Drosophila melanogaster: one gene and its partner. The gene in region 2 interacts genetically with the main gene of each other region. Each region holds a gene or a part of one and is shown on either strand. Other genes may lie near its edges.

The links.
Region 1: of c(3)G (region 2) and vilya, changing one enhances a phenotype caused by changing the other (phenotypic enhancement), as found in Drosophila melanogaster (one study listed by BioGRID).

Annotation. Positions count from the first base shown.
Region 1 is NC_004354.4:2,724,678-2,731,772, reverse strand, and holds vilya (vilya), read right to left. Parts: upstream 5,096-7,095; 5' UTR 5,067-5,095; coding exon 4,546-5,066; intron 4,482-4,545; coding exon 4,289-4,481; 3' UTR 4,205-4,288; downstream 1-4,204. Other genes in the region: ttm50 (tiny tim 50), read left to right, coding at 56-239, 296-824, 884-1,007, 1,067-1,257; dwg (deformed wings), read right to left, coding at 1,820-2,776, 2,839-3,228, 3,510-3,941; fs(1)Ya (female sterile (1) young arrest), read right to left, coding at 5,282-7,095. UniProt on the Drosophila melanogaster protein: Required for the formation of DNA double-strand breaks during meiosis together with narya and nenya.
Region 2 is NT_033777.3:15,787,037-15,798,045, forward strand, and holds c(3)G (crossover suppressor on 3 of gowen), read right to left. Parts: upstream 5,544-11,009; 5' UTR 5,495-5,543; intron 5,437-5,494; 5' UTR 5,407-5,436; coding exon 4,898-5,406; intron 4,843-4,897; coding exon 4,620-4,842; intron 4,549-4,619; coding exon 4,366-4,548; intron 4,313-4,365; coding exon 3,920-4,312; intron 3,857-3,919; coding exon 3,344-3,856; intron 3,279-3,343; coding exon 3,204-3,278; intron 3,149-3,203; coding exon 2,912-3,148; intron 2,854-2,911; coding exon 2,752-2,853; 3' UTR 2,437-2,751; downstream 1-2,436. Other genes in the region: CG9590 (uncharacterized protein), read left to right, coding at 1-722, 782-1,169; Uros2 (uroporphyrinogen III synthase 2), read left to right, coding at 1,568-2,329; Acyp2 (acylphosphatase 2), read left to right, coding at 5,799-5,865, 5,921-5,937, 6,006-6,115, 6,174-6,288; nsl1 (non-specific lethal 1), read left to right, coding at 7,871-8,543, 8,610-9,855, 10,262-10,758.

The DNA of each region.
Region 1 (7,095 bases), on a different chromosome or scaffold from region 2:
GAGTCCTAAACAGTAGAGTCCTAAACATTCATCCTTGGCCACTTTCGTTTCGCAGAGCAGGAAGCTGGAGCCACTGGCCCCAATGATGCGCCCGAGGTCGCACCGAATGCCCCGCTGCTGGCCAAGCTCTTTCCTCAGACCTCGCCGGAGGTGGACAGCAACGCCGAGCAGGAGCGCAAGAAGCGCGAGGAGGAGGAGGAAAAGGAGAACGAGCGTGCCTGGAAGCGCATGAAGCTGGGGTAAGCTGACGCCCATTCAATGCGTAACAGTATTATAACAATACTTCCTGCTGCAGCTTTGCAATATTCGGAGGCAGCGCCGTGGCTGCTGGATTCTGGGCCGTCTACGAGTTCGGCAAGCCCGAGGTGGACCCCAACGGGCAGCCCATCGAGGACGAGTTCACACACAAGCCGCTGGTACAGCAGTATCTGCAGCGGATGTGGAAGAGCATTCACTACTATCAGCGCATGATCCAGGAGCCGTCGCGCGCCAAACTGCTGCCCGATCCGCTCAAGCCGCCGTACGTGCAGCCGCGCTACACGCTTGTGCTGGAGATGAAGGACGTGCTGGTGCATCCGGACTGGACTTACCAAACTGGCTGGCGCTTCAAGAAGCGTCCCGGCGTCGACCACTTTCTGGCCGAGTGCGCCAAGGACTTTGAAATTGTCGTCTTCACCGCCGAACAGGGCATGACCGTGTTCCCCATCCTGGATGCCCTCGATCCCAACGGCTACATTATGTACCGCCTGGTCAGGGATGCCACGCACTTTGTGGACGGCCATCATGTGAAGAACCTGGACAACCTTAATCGCGACCTCAAGAAGGCAAGTCATGCACAACGTATTTTCTATTGCAATCATCTATAAAGAAGGGAGTATTTTAGGTGATTGTTGTGGACTGGGATGCGAATGCCACCAAGATGCATCCGGACAACACATTCGGCTTGGCCCGCTGGCATGGCAACGACGATGATGGCCAACTGCTGGACCTTATCGCTTTCCTAAAGAGTAAGTTGCGCCACAAGTGACATTGAAAGCTAAACACTGACCCTTGCAATTCGCTACAGTAATTGCGCAGAACAACGTGGACGACGTGCGCGAGGTGCTCCACTACTATCGCCAGTTCGACGATCCCATCAACCAGTTCCGGGAGAACCAGCGCAAGCTGGCCGAACAAATGCTGGAGGCGGAACGCATCGAGCAGTCCAAGACCAAGCCAATGGTCAAACAGTGGTCGCGCAACATTCTCGGCCGCTAGGAGGCTGGCCATACCGCACAACCCGTTCCATACGCATACCTTAACCTTCCGCCTGCGCCGGAGCAACAAACACGCCCTGCAGCAGCACACTGGCCATATTTTTCGTCGACTTTTGGAGTAGTTAGTGGGAAGCAGTAGCAGACAGCAGACAGCAGGATTGGGAGGCACGCTCTGTCTTTTGCTCCTTTGGGAAAAGACGAGGCGCATGTTTTTGTTTTATTGAATAACTAAACTTGCTTGTTTTTGTTTTTTGGCAATTTAATCGTAATATTATTATTATAAAGAGACGACTTAACCGTAAAACCAAAAACAAGACATCCATGTGTTTCGTTACGAAAGTGGAGAACTTGCTGTGCGTTATCTAATCACAATTGATGGATAAGAGTGGCTAAACCTGCTGAGATAGTTATCGTGAAAACAAAATTATTTTTATGTATGTAAAAAATAAGTGTCGAATTTTCTTTCAGTTTTTTCTGGAACAAAAATCAGTTTTATTGAACTAAGTGTCTAATCCTTAGCCTAGGCTTACATTCTAGAGCCGCTCCCACGGCTTGGTGGCCGCTCACAGCACCATCACCACTTTGGAGGTGGACACCGGCTGCTCATGAACTTCGGTTATGTGAAGGTTGGTTGCCGATCCACCGGTCGCACCTCCACCGGTCGGACTTCCACCTGTCGCACCTCCGCCTGTCGCACCTTCTGCGCCCGCTTGTCGGCTGGGAGGATTGATGGACTGAACAGCAACGGTGGCCGTCACCGGCGACTCCTTGTTGTGGACGCGCATATGACTGGCCAGTCGCTTCTTTGTGGGAAAGGCCTTAACGCAGACCTCGCACTTAAACGGCTTTTCGCCGGAATGGAGGCGAACATGGGCATTGAGGTTGCTGGTAAAGGTGAAGGCATGCCCGCAAACATCACACTTGTGCGCCTTGACGCCACTGTGGACCATCATGTGCTTCTTGTAGCCCGACTTCTGAGACAGTCCCACGCCGCAGATCTCGCAGGTGAAAGCCTTCTTGCCGGTGTGGCTTATCTTGTGCTGGCGCAGCGAGGACGAATCGTAGTAGGCCTTGTCGCACAGATCGCAGGCGTATGGTCGCTCGCCCGTGTGCGTGAGCTTGTGGCGCCGCAGATGATCGAACGCCGCATATCCGCGGCCGCACTGATCGCAGTTGTAGGGTTTCTTCTCCGCATGAGTTCTCTTGTGCACTGCCAGACTGGAGGTGGTACGATAGAAGCGGCCGCATATGCTGCACTGGTGCGGCTTGACATTTGTGTGTGTCAGCATGTGTTCCTTGTAGTTGCGTAGGTGCTTCAGACGCTTGCCACACTCCTCGCACTCGTATTGCTTCTCGTCCACGTGGGAGCGCATGTGCTGGTTGAGACGGCACTGCTGGCGGAACGCCTTCTGGCACACGGTGCACACGTACGGCAGCGCCTCGCCAGCGGTCGGCGGCGCTGAGTCCAGCGACTCCTCCAGGAAGTCCTCATCTTCGCAGACATCCTCCGCCTCCGGCAGCTGTGTGTAGGTGAATGGAGGATAAATGGTATTCTAGTGCAATATAATTTGACCTTTCTCACCAGATGCTCCTCGCGCCCATCCCCCTCCAATTCGAGGGTCTCCTCGCCGATGACCTCGTCAATGGCTCCCTCGGCGGGTATCACAATCATCTGACAGTCCAGTATGGCGTCGTGGGCGCCGGAGTCGTTCATCACCTCGAACTCATCCTCCTCCGTGACGATCGTTTCGAACTCATTCTTAATGGTCACATACTCCACTTCGGCGGGCTGAAACTCATGCACGCTCTCCATAGTGATGTGTTCCTCCTGCTGGTCGCCCGACTGTGCCAGCTGGTGCTCCTCCTCCGACAGCTCGTCATCCTGATCCACCTCCTCGGTGAGAAACTCCTCCTCCTCATCCACGGTCATCGCGAAGATGCGACGATCCTCCTCTGCTAGTTCTTCATCCAACTGCGGATGAAGAAGGTGTTATGGTTTTACTTTGGAGTTAGACTTGATGAAGCCCATCTCCTATTTAGACGTAGTGTCACCAAGAGCAGACAAGTTATCCATTGTATGGAGGTACAGGTTGCACTCCTTTGGCACCGACCTACCCTACTACATCCCAAAGAGCCACAATATAAGTGAATCGATTTGAGTGACTGGTGCCCGCTGTGAGCAATCGTTAATCCTCTATGGGAGTGGACAAGAACCATTGCATTCCATTGCACCGTGAAGTGATAGATACTTACATTGGCGACGTTCTCCTGCTCCTCGTTGAGCATCTCGATCATGACGTACTCCTCGGTGGAGTCGAACGCCTGCTGTTGCTGGTCGTGCTGCTGGCTCTGGTTGGGGCTATGAGTCTGACTCTCGTGAAAGCTGGAGCAGCGCGCCTCGTCCAGGCCCAGGCGGAGCAGCTCGTCCGAATCGATGACCATGCGCTTGAAGTTGAACGCCTGTTCCAGCAGCTGCAGGCAGTGGAGGCAGATGTGCTGCGGCATGGCGGCGCCGTCTTGCGGCTCGAACGAGAGTCCCGTGCAGTAGTTTAGCATGCTGGCCAGCGTGGTGCTGCCCTCCGAACCCAGATCGATCTCCTCCTGCAGCGGCTTGTGCAGCTTGCAGGCACGCGTGCACGTCCGGCAGTTGAGCACCACTACCTCGGCGATCTTGCTATTCATCATGATGTCCTTATCCGCTTTCCCCTGTGGTTCTTGTCGGACAGCGCCGGATTTGCCGCTTTTATGACGTTTCGCTCTTCTACTTCTTGCAATTCAATTTTTATGCGTTTTTAGAGCAGATGCTTATGCGATATTATCGGTGCAGCAGTCATCGATGGATTTCGATTAATCGAATTCACTTTCAACACTTCTGTTATCCTAACGAAACTGTTAATTGAAACTTAACGGTCGCTGTTAACTTAGCAGTTTATTATTTTAAAGCTTATGACACCATTTTATTGTTTTAAGCTGATTATTTACAAAAAATATATACTCGGTTGTAAAACAGAGCTTTACCTATCAGCACTAGCTCACAGATCGAACGAGTTGTTCGGCGGGTGTATGAAGCTGGTGATTTGCTGCCGCTTTGCTGATTCCGTTGATCGGCGTCGACTGGAGGACTGTGTGGCTGTTCCACGGCCACGAGGACGTCCGCGCGCCGAGCGTTGGGCGGATGACGAGGATTGCGAAGTCAGCGAGCGGCTTCGGTAGGCCTGGGCCATCCTAAGGCGGGTAGAAATATAATGCATTAATGGGAACTATTTTCAATGGAATCCAAATGTCGCACCGATGCATTTCCGCCTTCCGATTGGCGACTTCCGCCTTAATGTAGCGCGACCTCTGCATCAGCTTCTTGCGCTCCACGCGCAGCATCTGCGCCTCCAGGAAGCGTTTCTGGCACACGGACTTGGCCACCTCGATGTCCTTGAACAGCTTATCCATCTCCAGTTCCTTCCTCTCCTTGTACTTGTCGAAGTGCCGATGATTGCCGCGCTGGAACGTCTCCACAAAGTCGTTGCCGATGGTGAAGGGCTCCGGATGGAAGAGCTGCTTGAAGTGGTTGGGCATCGAGTTGGTCAACTGGCGGCCGCGCACGCTCCGCCGACAGGTGGAGCATTCGAATATGGGCGCGTCGCTGGGCGTGCGGCCGGCGGAGACCTTGACGCACCGCTCGCAGAACACGTGATGGCAGGCGAGCAGGAAGAAGGTGTGCTTCTTATCGCAGAACAGGGCGCAGCAGCTGTTGCAGTGGATCCACAGCTTGGACGCCTCCGGCTCGACAGTCTGACCTGCTTGTGATTTCGCCATGGGCGCTCCGTTAAGCTTTTCGATCTTGTGCGCAACTAATTAATAACAGAATCAATAGATAGAGTTGGCAGCTCTGAATGAGACGAGCTAAGCTCCTGGACCTGCCAACTCCTGCTGCGCATAACGGTTAATGCAAGACCAAACATTTATTAAACGATAAAAAAAAAGAAGAATTTCACAATTAAAACACAGATTCGCAGGCAAAAGCTTAAAACCTACTGGCGACGCATGCGCTCGATGGGCTCCCTGGGCCGGATGCGGTAGCGCTTCGAGGAGCTGGACGGCGACAGCGGGCTACAGTACTGGCTGTCCAGCGTCTGAGTGCGCTTTCTCTTGAGGCACTGCTGGTCCTCCATGGAGGAGTCCCTTGCACTGGGGCGCACCAGGGATCCAGCGATGGAGGCGCAGCGACGGATGAGTGAGCCCGAACCAGCGTTCTCCTTATCCGAATCCCTGTCCCTGTCCCTGTCCTTTTCGCGTTCGCCGCGCAAGCTGGCCGGCAGTCGCATCATGGAACTCATCAGCGACCACAGGCGACCGGAGTTGGGCGCCTCCAGCTTTTTGTCGTTGCACGTGGAGGCGTTTGTGGGGCGGAACACCTCGTCCTCCTCTTCTGCGTCCACGACCTCCGGCTCGCCCACATCCTGCACGCCGCTATAGACCCTCTGCTGACGGCATTCCCGCAACGGAGGACGCACCCTGGGTTGCTGCAATGGCGGCGAGATCAGGGCCATCACCGCCAGCCCCTTCTCCTTCGGCTTATCCTTCTTGGGCGAAAACTCGCCGCTCAGCTGGCGCGGCACAATCGCCTGGCGATGACGACGCTCTGGAATTTCCGGCGTTCCCGGTTCCGGCGTGAAAAACTGGTCCTTGGTTTCATCGCCCTCGCCATTCGATCGCATCTGTTGGCTGCTCTTGGGCGGCGTCTCGAACTTGATCTGCTTCTTGTTGATGCCGGCACCGGTGACACGGATGGGCGTTATGGCCGGCACGTGGCACACTTCCGCTGATTCCGAGGTGGAGCGTATGATCTCGACGCTCTCGCATGAGTTGTACACCGTGGAAGAGGTCTTCTGTGAGCTGGAGTTCGTCCGCGTGATGATGATCGACTCGGTGGTGAGTTTCTGTGCGGACAGCAAGAACTGCCGCTTGCATAGATCGGCATTCCGCGAGGTGCTGTAGCTGGAGCTGCTGCCGCTGTTGACCTCCGAGGCGCTGGACTCGCTCTGGGTGCGCCGCATAGCTGGCGAGAGTCGCAGGTCCAGAGCGGACGAGCCTGCTGCCTCGTGCGAACTGTGCTCGCTGAGATCGAGGCGCACGCGACGTTGCACCACTGCGGATGGTGGCTGGTGGACCATCATGCCGCCGTGCTCGACGAAGGCCTTCTGAATGCTCTTGGACATGACCTGGCGCAGCGGCGTTGCGGCGCTCATCTTGTTGCGGGCGCCCATTTTCCAGGCGCGCTGCTGCAACGGCTGCTGCTGCTGCTGCTGCTGCTGGACGGGATTGCTTTCGGGTGTCGGACTGGGCTCCTCGTGGTAGATGCTGGACACGTGGCCGCCAGTGGAAGCATTGAAGGTAATCGGCTCCTTGGGCTTGGCGAACACGGACTCCACGTGCAGTGGTGTGGACGTCGAGCGTATGACCTTGCCCTTCTCCATCGTTTCGGACGGATTCACGCCCAGTTGGCCAATGGAGCGACGAATGGAGCTGTTGCTGAACGACGACAGGTTGCGTATGGAGGAGACGCTGTCGCTGATGAACTCCTCGTGGGTGACACGGCTCTTGGCCTTCCAGCGCATGTTGATCAGTGAAATGGGCGTTACGGACGGCGACGTTTGCGTTGAAATGGCGGTGCTATTCGCTGCCTTCTTTAGCGTCGCCTTCGATGTCTCCGTGGCGCCGGTGACATCAGTGCAGCTCTGCTGCTGGTCCACGCACTTGCTGAACTCCCGCAGGTCATCGACGCGCGTGTAGTTGCGCTGGCACTTGCGGCATCGCAGCGGCAGGTGGCAGGTCTCGATGTGGG
Region 2 (11,009 bases):
CTAACCACCGCCACGGAGGGATTGGGCACGATAACCACCCAAGTCAACCAGGGGCTTAATCAAATCATCGGAGTGCCCGATCCCGAGGAGCTGGCTCGCATTAATGTGGCTGAAAAGGCGGAAAAGGCTGCTAAAGCGCCGCCAGAGGAAAATGTCGACGATGAAAAAGAATCTTCGGCCGCCTTTGGCTTGGACTTTGTCACCAATCTGGGCTCCAAGGTTCTCAACACCGGACTGGATACACTCGAGGGCATTGGCAAGAAGACCATGACCATCCTGCAGGACAACGATCCCAAGCTGATGAACAAGAGGAAACTGCTCGGTCTGGAGGCCAACTCGCCTAATTTGAGTGCCGTGTTGCTGGAGGCAAAGAAGGAGGCCGACCAAATGGAGCAATCCCTGCAACAGCTACAGCTGAAAAGACAGAAGGCGCAGCTGCGTTTCGAAATCCTTTTCGAAAATTACTGCGGCCTGGTGCACTTCGAGGCCCTGGAGATCCTTTCCAAGGAGTCACGCCTCAAACTGGACACCCTACTCGATGCGGTTAGTGGCAATGCCCGTGCAGAGTTGCAGGAAACGATAAACGAGGTGAAGGAACTGATCGAACTGGAGGATCTGGATGTGGAGAGTGAAGGTGACTACGAGGCGGAGGAACTGAGCGAGCGATTGGCGGCCACAATCAAGGACGCCGAGCTGGGCATTCAGTTTGACGACATAGCCAAGTAAGTTGTCGGAAACTAATATTATTTAAACATACCATAAACCCAAATCTTTTGTACAGTCACTGGACGCAGTCCCTCAGCTGGTTGACCTCAGAGGAAGCAACTGCCGCCGATCTGGAGCAAGCCTATGCTAAGAGCATCCACGCGCTGAGTGAAGCGTGCGCCCTCGAGATGTGTAAGCTGCACAAAATCGCCGAGCTGTTGCTGGTGAAGCCACATCACAGCACCGCCAACGAAGTGGATGGCGTCGTCAATCTCTGCCAGCAGTTCAATGGACACCTTCAAGGACTTAGCCACCGCTTCGCCGCCGTTCTGAGCGGCAAGTCAGAAACGGAGGAATCAAAAGGCCGGGTCAGCACATTCTTTTCCGAAATGCTATCTGCCGTGCAGTTCATCGAGAAGGCCTACAAGCTATTTACACCCATTCTCCAGATGGGAGCTGTGTAAACGGATTTAAGATTAATTGTTGTACTTTCTACTTTTACTATTGCCTGGTTAGTGTTCTCAACTCACTTGTTTTTCCATATAAATGTACAAAATTATAAATGATTGCGTTGCAAATGCTTGTGATAACATTCCCGAAATTATTGAGAAGTTTTTTCAAAGTGCAACTGAAAGTTCGGTAGCCTGCATTCGTGTTTGGTTGGATTAGAGCCACCTAATAATAGTTGGCTTCAATGTGATGAACTATTTTTAAAACCCGACTCTCGATAGGCGCGGCAATAATTTTCAGGCATTATCTATTCTATGCCCTTTCTATTCGAACTATTCTATAAATCAAACGCAAAACACGAATATCAAATTGTCCATTCTCTAGTTAAGTCCAGCAAAATTTAGTTAGAATCATGGGAGATCGCAACAAGCAGCCGGTTATTCTGCTGAAGGTTCCGTCCTCCGATGATTTCTATGGTTCGGCGTTGCGCAGCCATAACCTGGATCCCATCTTCATTACTCCCTCGCATTTTGTGTTCAAGAATCTGAAGCAATTGCAAGCCAAGTTGCATGAGCCGCACAAATATGCCGGGATTATATTTGCATCCCCGCGCTGTGTCCAAGCTGTAAACGAGGCACTAGGAAAGACACCACTTCCTAGTTGCTGGCGTGCGTTACACAATTATTCCCTAGGCAAGAACACGCACAGCGCCGCCTGGATAACATTCCAGAATCTTCCGACTCTGGGCGATCATGCCGTGAATGCAAACAATCTGTGCGATCTGATCGTGGAGACGTTTGGACCCAAGAGGGATCTGCCACTGCTCATGCCCTGCGGCAATGGCGTGGGTCAGACACTGCGCCTCCGTTTGGTCGCCCAGGGATTCCGGGTGGATGCCTGCGAAGTGTACGAGAGTCGGTCGCATCCGGATTTCGTCAATCAGATGCGGCACGCCCTCAAATTCAAGCGAATGGAAACGATTGTGTTCTTCGGACCCTCCAGTGTCCGCAGCTCCTTGGAGTTCTTTGGGAACTACAACGTTTCGCTTAAGGATCGCAAGCTGATAGCCGTGGGCAGTGGCACCAGGAAGGCAATGGAGGAATCTGGAATTAAGGCGGACGGAGTCGTGAATGCTGCTGACGTCGACCGCCTGATAAATATCATCAAAACATAGTTTAGTATCGATCATTTTACGTTTTGTTTTTACCAGTTTTTACTTTTGGTATGATTTCAAAATCTGTTTGGTGTCCTTTAAAGAAATGAGGACAAAAGTGTGTTATTAATTAAAGTGTTTCAACAAAGTACATGTAATGTTTTTATTACAAAAACTATAATCAAATAGATTGGATCTATTTGAACAAGATACTTCAAGATATGAGTTTTAATTTAACAATTAGATACAAAATGGGATTAAATAACATAAAGTAATCATGTTCTTAAAAATAGCTTGCCAGTTTCAGACAAGTTTTCAAAGAAGTACAGATGTTTAAATGATGATGGATCTGAATGAATTTCTAAGCTCAATATTCTTCCATTTTACTAAAAACAAAGTGTAAGAATTGATAATGTTGTCTGTATGTTCGTTGTACTGCTTAGTTATTTAGAATTCTTCAACATGTCGAACATATCAATATTATTTTGTGGCTTGATGGGCGCACATAATTTGGCACGTTTGCCGCTTAAAGAGTTGCCCACGATCTGTAATAAAAGTTCAATAATTTAATTTCGATTATAGGTGCAATTAACAAATACTCACTGGTATATCATCGCCGCTATCAAAGTCGGAGGAATATGTGGTAATTTTTTGACGACGAGCATTACGCTTTCTGGCAGTGCTTGAAAATTCGTCTGTATTTTCCGGTTGCACCTTAGTAGGAATGCTCTCAGTTCTGGTTGGCCCTTTGGAATCTTTTAGCTGTTTAATTGTGGTCACTGGTTGGTCGATCAGGCAGTTAATTCGATTCATTTTAAATTGTAGCACAGCCATTTCATTCTGTTGGGCAATTTTAAATATATAACATGAAATATAATGAGTCCGATAGACTTACGTTCTTTTCACGCTCAAGTTCAATCAATTCGGTTTCTTTTCTTTTAATTTCAAGCTCCAATTCGGATACCTTTTTCTATATAAAAATAATAAATCATTTTGTAGAAAAAAGGTTAATGAAAAAGAATTTATAAGTCTTACCATTAGGTTATCTTTCTGAGACTGTAATTCCTCGCTAAATTTAACTTTGGCCGTGGATAATTCACTCTCGATTTCCTTCTTTTCAGCCTGAAGATTGATAATAGCGCTCTTTAGCGTATCATGATCACTAATCAAATATTCCAATTTATCCTGTTGAGCCTTAAAAGCTTTATTCCTTTCTTCGAGTTCAGATTTAAGTTTTTGTATTTCAACAGCGTTTCGCTTATTTTCGCTCTCAACTTCAGTGGCCTTCATCTGCATTTGATTAGCAAGCTGCTCCTGTTGCCTTTTGAGTTCTTCTTCAAAATTATGAGTTTTTTCTTGAATTTCATTACCAAGACGCTTTATTAGCTCTTCCTGATTGCTGCGATGGGACACCATTTCTATAAGTTTTTCCTGCAGTTCGGAGACCTGCAGAAGGGTTTCTTTGTGTAGCTTCTCACTGTTGCTTTTTAGCTGAGTAAAATCAACTGAAGCCTTGTTCAAGCTCTCTTTTAACTCTTGAACAACAATCTGTCAAGGAGAATAAATAATCAAGATACAATAAAATATGAATTTAGTATTTTTCAGACCAACCTCGTAGGCATCTGCTTGATCTTTTATTTCCTGGGAGTGCTTCAATTTTGTTTCAGTCAACTCATTGATATAACTTTCGTTGATATCAGCGAGCTCGCTCAATCTCTCCGTCATTTGAGTTAGTTCATCACTTAGGGAAACATGTCTTCTTTCCTTTTCCTCAATAAGAGTCTTAAACGTATTTATCTCATTGCGAACAAGTTCGAGTTCCCTCGTTGCCTGATCAGTCAATCGTTGCTGATCCACGAACTGCAATTCACTGGCTTCTAAATCACGTTGCAGTTTCGACAAAGCTTTGTTGGCCTCTATTGGCAGCTGCTCAATGCGATCTTCAAGCTGGGCGCAGTCAAGCATCTTTGCATTTAAGTCGCTGCTTAATTGTAAAATGTTTGCCTGTGGAGAACATAATGTTATAATCTAATACAAGGAAAGCCAGTGTAACCCACCTCAAACTTTTCCTTTTGTGCAGACACATCTTCAAATTGAAGCTGTAGGTCTTCGTGGAGCTCTTTGAGATCGGTAAGTTCATGTAGAATCATAGATTTGGCCACTTCTGCTTCTTCCAAATCCTTTTTATAATTCTCGCAGGCTCCAGCTAACTCACGATTCGTTTGCTGCATATTATTCAGCTGCAAAGTGAGATACACATGTAGATATATATAAATTTATATCTATATATTTTAAAATATAGTAAACTCACCTCTTGCGCCTGCAGGGCCATCCGGGATTGAGCATCTCGGAGCTCTGAATTTTTCTTCTCAACACATACTTTAATGATTTCCAGCTCCTTGTCGTAATGTTGCTCGCAGTGGGTGTACTTTTTGTTGATTTCCGTGTACTTCTGGATGTTCTCTGCGTTCTTCTCCTGCTGCTCGATAAGATCAGTTTTCAGTTGGGTCAGCTCCAGTTCCATATTTGTCAACCTGAAAGAATAAGCTCACTGCAGGCAGGAACTGTATTGAAGAAGGAAGGTCTTACTTTTCCTTCAAGCTGATATTTTCCGATTTTTTCTTCAGCGAGTCCATGGCGATGGCTCTCATTTTCTTGCTGACCACCAAGTCTTTCTTCTTGAGATTATTTAGCGATTCGTTGTACTGCTTTATGAAGCTATGAATTATTATTCCCGTGTGGGGCGACAGCTTCTGAATATCTGCCCATAATTCTCCCTCGTTTTTGGGAGACTTTTTTAGACTTTTTGTTGAACTGTCTATGGTGGCTGCAAAAGTTTGGTCTTCCTGTGTTTTTTCCACAGCCTGAGAAGTTTGCGCTTCAATTTTTGATTGCTGAACTCTAGGAGCCACTAGCGGAGTTCTTTTTTTGGATGGCTTTTCGTTTGATCTTTCGAAAAGTTGAGTTTTTACATGATCCTTTTTCCAAACAGTTGGAATTTGGCTGTTTTTTTCTTGGGCAACTGTACCTGGTTTTGGGGCTTTCGAGTGAGCTGCATCCACTAACGGTGCTCCCGATCTTTTCTTGGCGCCCGTCATTTTGCCAGCTAAGCAGTTGTATTAGCGCAACTAATTTATAAAAGAAATAAATATATATTGTACATTACAAACGTTTTGTTTAGTTTACCTAAACTTTTACCAAGTGCGTCCTGCGTTGAAAAGCAACGGTAAACATTAGCTAGAGATGAGCTTGATGACCTACAGTATATTGTTGTTCACAAGAGGTGTGTGTACTGTCTAAATACTGACCTCACGGTATTTTCTACTGAACGCCCCTGGTTTTGCGTTGTCGCCCTGGCTACGATAACTATGTTACAATTTAATAATAATTCTATTTTGGTTGTCAACATTCAGTTTTTGCTAGCTCTATTTAGAAATTTGAGTGCTGCAAGGAATCTAAGTGGCATCAGAAATCTGATCACGACTACATAATGGCGGGATCTGGAGTTGCCAAGCAGATATTTGCCCTCGATTTCGAGATCTTTGGACGAGTGCAAGGTATGCAATGCATTTTTCTGATTCGGCTTGTTAAACAGCGTATTAAATTTTGCAGGTGTGTTCTTCCGCAAAGTAAGTACTGGGAGGCCTATATATATATCTGGAAATCAACATTTAACTTATGTACATTTTTGGCTTAGCACACGTCGCATGAGGCTAAAAGATTGGGAGTTAGGGGCTGGTGCATGAATACCCGGGATGGGACCGTCAAGGGACAACTGGAGGCTCCTATGATGAATTTAATGGAAATGTAGGTACCGCTGCACTCCACTAATTCAATCATTTAACCATCGCCCACTAATTTGAAGGAAACATTGGCTGGAGAACAACCGAATTCCCAACGCTAAGGTCTCAAAGGCTGAATTTTCGCAAATCCAGGAAATCGAGGACTATACGTTCACTTCCTTTGACATAAAACATTAAAAACGAATTATTAGCTCTTTCGTTGTCCATCCAATTCCGAAACAAAGTCTAAATAAATTACCAGGGCTGCAACTTGCGTAAGCAGGCATATCTGCATTGCTATCGACTGAGTCGATAACATTCGATAGTATGAACATAAGAAATATTACGTTTCGCAAAACTGAACCCAGTACTGAAGTACAACAATAAATAAATAATAAATTATTTAAAACAAGGCGGAAAATTATTCCGAGAATCGATAGTCGCTAGTCGAAAGTGCGCACCACTCCAGTATCTACTCGATATATTGCTATCACAGCCGATAGTTTGCAGCTCCCTGCCATAGACACTGGTCATCTCGCTCGCACACACAACAGTGGGCCGCGCCACCGCCATAGGCGGCGCACGTGCAAGAGCGAGACAACCAGCTGGGCGACAGCGCACTTTGGTCTGGCACAGAAACGAGTACAGCTTCGATACACGTCGTTTTGCCAAAAGCGTAGCAGAGCAGTCTAAGCGATGAAAAAAATAAATGAGGAAAAAAGTCCGTGAAGCGAAAACCGTAATTCCTACAGTGCGAGTCACGCCATTGTGTTTGCAAAAAATATTTGCCAATTGTGCTACGGGCAATTTTTCGGAACGGCCGAATTGTGCGTATAATGAAAAAAAATACTACTTAATTTTTAAGCAATTTACAAATTCTTGCGTGCTGCCTGCCTGCTGTCGGTGTGTTCTTGCTTGCATGTGTTAGTGAGTACGATTACTTTCGCGCTGAAAACCTTTTTCCACTGCCCTTTCGCTGGAATCTGGGCGAATATAGATAGGACACAAAGCACATATAACTGATTTTTACTGCAGAATTGATCGAGACATGTGGAATACAATAAATGAGATTGTGTAAATAACTGAATATAGTGGCGCATACAGTTGCACGTGTGTGTGTGCTAGCATGTGCGTGTGTGTGTGTAAAGGCGCGAGTTTCCGTTTGCCTAGGCTAATTGTAGTGGAAAAACTCAATAAACGGAATTACATAAAAACATGGTGGCATGATCGGCAGTTTCCCGCCGGCAGAAGATGCCCAATCTTGGAAAATTGTAATTTTCGAAAGTAACCGCAATGATTTCGTCAGTATGTAAAGTAGTCTGTCAGTCCCTGCATATGTTTGTGTGTGTGTGTTCTATACAGTTTTTTTTATTGCGCATCATGGTGTGCAATAGCGCGCTTTCTGACCTCTCTCTCGCTCTCATGGGTTCTCTTGTTGGCCAAAGCGACGCTGTGTGTGTGTTGTGTACGCATATGTAGCATATGTACATAACACGCCGGAAAAGACAAAAAAAAAAAACCATTCCAAATTTTGAAATCTTACGGAGGCGGGCGGTTTAAACGAGATAAAAAATAAATACACCAATATTGTTCTTTTATATGATAACGCAGTAGTCTCGGACCGAATAGTATGCCTTTATTTTGTCGTCCTAACGCTGAATTGCCGAAAAATAATAGCCCGTTTTTGGAAAATTCTCGACAGGATTAGCATAAAGAGACGCCTTAGGAGTCGAACGAACCAAATGCCGCAGCAGCCGGCCAACGTATTAGCATCAGAACGATGGCCCCAGCGCTCACAGCCGAGCCACTAAGTCCAAAGGAGAAGCTAACCAGCACCGCCTCGCCCTCGGCCCGCAGCTCCTCGGAAAGCGGAGGAGTTGGATGTGCAGTTGGCTTGGTCAAGAAGCCGGCAACACCCACGCCGGCCACGGCCACCACGCGGATTACCCGCTCATCAGCGGCAGCGGCCTCAGTTACCGCTTCCCCGCATCTACAACAGCAGCGATCCTCGCTAGCAATCAATAACAAGCGAAAGTCGGGCAACGCTAAAGCCAGCAATGAACCAATGGGGCTGAGCACAGCCCCGACTCCACACAGCACCACTTCACCAAATCCCTCGACGGATACTGCGGCAGCCTCCACCTCTGCCGTGGAGCACAACAATAACGACAGCAACAGTACCTCCGCCGGCAACAGCACCTCCGCCGACAACAGCTCCACGCCCAAGGACAACTCCACCGCTCAGCTACTGGCGGATCTAACCATCAACTTTGAGGAGACCATATCCGCGGAGATTTGCCTGAGGAAAACCCTACCCGATGTGAGTCTGGGGAAAGAGCCGGTTCCGCCTGCCTCGGTGCTGGCAGTGGCCACAAGTTCAACGAGTGCTGGCAGCGCTCTATCCTTATCTGCAGTGGATGAGGTGACCAAGATAGAAATAGATAATATAGAAGGTGGGTCTAAGGAATCACTCCAAATAAATAGTCTTGACTCAAAATTTCTCTCGCCCACTGTTTCAGAGCGTCTCAGCCAGCTAGATGGGAATGCCACTGGAAGGCCCGAGGAGCATGTGGCACCACCTTCTGTTCCGGTACCCGTGCAGGAGGCGCCAAACACGCCCACCAGGCCACAGGCGCCACCAAGTGCCCATCTTGAGTCTCCGCAGCCGGCGCGAACACAGCAGCAGTCCATTCAACAGATGACGCCGCAAAGCACCACCAGTTCCAACAATTTTCTCAAAGACGGAGCAGCTGGTGCTGTTCTAGAGGATCAGGATATCGAGGAGGTGCTTAAAGCGCTCAAAACATTTGACGGTGGCCATGTTAATCCAGATACCATTTGCGAGTTTTTCGACGAAGTTTGGGAAGAGGCAGCACCGGCAGCGCCATTGCCGCCCGCGCCACCCGAAAATGTGGTGGATGTGCCGGGCGCGAAGCCCAGCTGCAGTGGCATCCTCGTTAGCGGCAGCAACATTTCCCAGCCGAATGTGATTATTAAGCAGGAGCAGCGGCCCTGGCAGGAGAGTCATGCTGAGTTGGAGCAGCAGCAGCACGTTATCTCGCGCAGGATCGAGTTTTTGCTACGCAGGATGCGCAAGCTCCAGGCGCGAGCGATGTGCCGTCACGCGAGCGAGGAGGTGGTTGGTATCATGGAGTGGTCTGCCCGCAGTTCCCATAAGGCTCCAGTTCCAGCGAGAAGTTCCACGCTGACTGAGCAGGAGGCCACTGTCCTATCGATTGTCTCAGGGCGTCCGAGCTCAACCTTCTGGGAGGAGCAGAACAAGCATCCGCTGCCTGCTAGCCAGATGAGTAATGTGATCCGGCATATTGCGACGGCGGCAAAGCATCAGCAAATCTGCCACTCAGCCAGCGGAAGCTCTGCTACTCTGGCGCCATCCTCCAGCTGGTACAACAGCTGCAACAGCTCTGCGCTGCCGATGAAGCGTCCACGAAAGAATCAACTTGATGCTTCGGTTGCAACGGGTGCCACACCCACTGCACCTGCGCCAGGAGCGGTAACATCTAGACAGGCAGCTGGCACGACGGGATCCGCAACGGGTTCGAATACACCGCGGGCGGATGATATCGTGCCCGGCTACGACACCTATGTGACTAATGAACTCACCCATGTGTCTGGCCTGCTGCACACGGAGCTTCGAGAAGTACAGAATGCCATCGACTCGGACGCCACGGAGTCAAGTTCTGGTGGAGAATCCGCTGACGAGATGGTAACCTACAACAACAACCAGCAGCTCTCGCTACCAATGTGAGTACTTCGTATTATTTATGTACATACTTAGGTTATCGGGAATATTTTACAAGTAAACTTTCTTCCATCTTTTTTTGAGGGGGGTTTTCAGCTTCTGTCATCTTTTTAAGATCATTCTTTTGCTATAGAATTTGTCCGATTAATGTTGGCTCGGTAGTTTTCTTTCAAAATTGTTTTGCTTTGACAGGCATTTTAAACATGATTTAACGTCGTCCTTAGCAATTGAAAAGTTGTAATAGGCTTTGATTAGAGTTGTTGTACCTAATTATCGCATTTACAATGCGATATTTCAACTATTTCAACAGTTTTTATTAAAATTGTTAATTAGCGATTATATATTTCTTTTAGCTTTTTTTTTGTGGTATTCTCTTTCCTAATGCTCTTGAAATTTGATTCTTTGCAGCACTCGACGCGCTGTCTGGCGATATTCGAGAGATCGTGCAGCCATTGCCCTGCGCTGGTCCTGGCTCTGCTCCCAGCTGACCGATTTGGAGATGAAGATCCGTCAGCACAGCGACCTTTACATGGATCTAACTCAGTCCAAGGGCGAGATCCAGCTGGAGTCCACAGCTAAGACCTCACCGTCGCTAGCACAGCCGGCAAATGGCATTAAGGAGGAGCCCGGATCCGACTACCTCTGCAGTCGGGCACGTCCATTGGTGCTGTCCGAGTTCCGCAAACGCAAGCTCTTCCAGACCACGAACATGCACACGATTTCCAAGAAAGCCGCACGCCCCAGCAACATTAAGTGTGGCTGCCAGTGGCCGCAGGTGCCATGCACACTGTGCACGGGTCGGACAGACCCTACGGCGCCCAGGGATCTGGTCGAGACGATGATGCCGCAAAACCGGGTGGCATTGCTCGATGCTGGCTACCATCCAGTGCTCAGCTTCGCCAGCGGTGAGTGGGAGGTTACACTGAGTGGACCCATTTGGTTTTCGTCCATGATTATTTCTTATCATCTGTGATGGTTTAACATTATTTATTCTACACTTGAGATTTGAACTGAATTGATTAAAAAGTAAAACTTTAAAATGCAATACTTGCAAATAATTTTTATTCGAAACTAAAACATTAAAATCCTCGTATTCTTTACATTGGATTCCAAAATGAAAAGAAATAGTCGGATGATGACAGCTAAAGTGGAATTA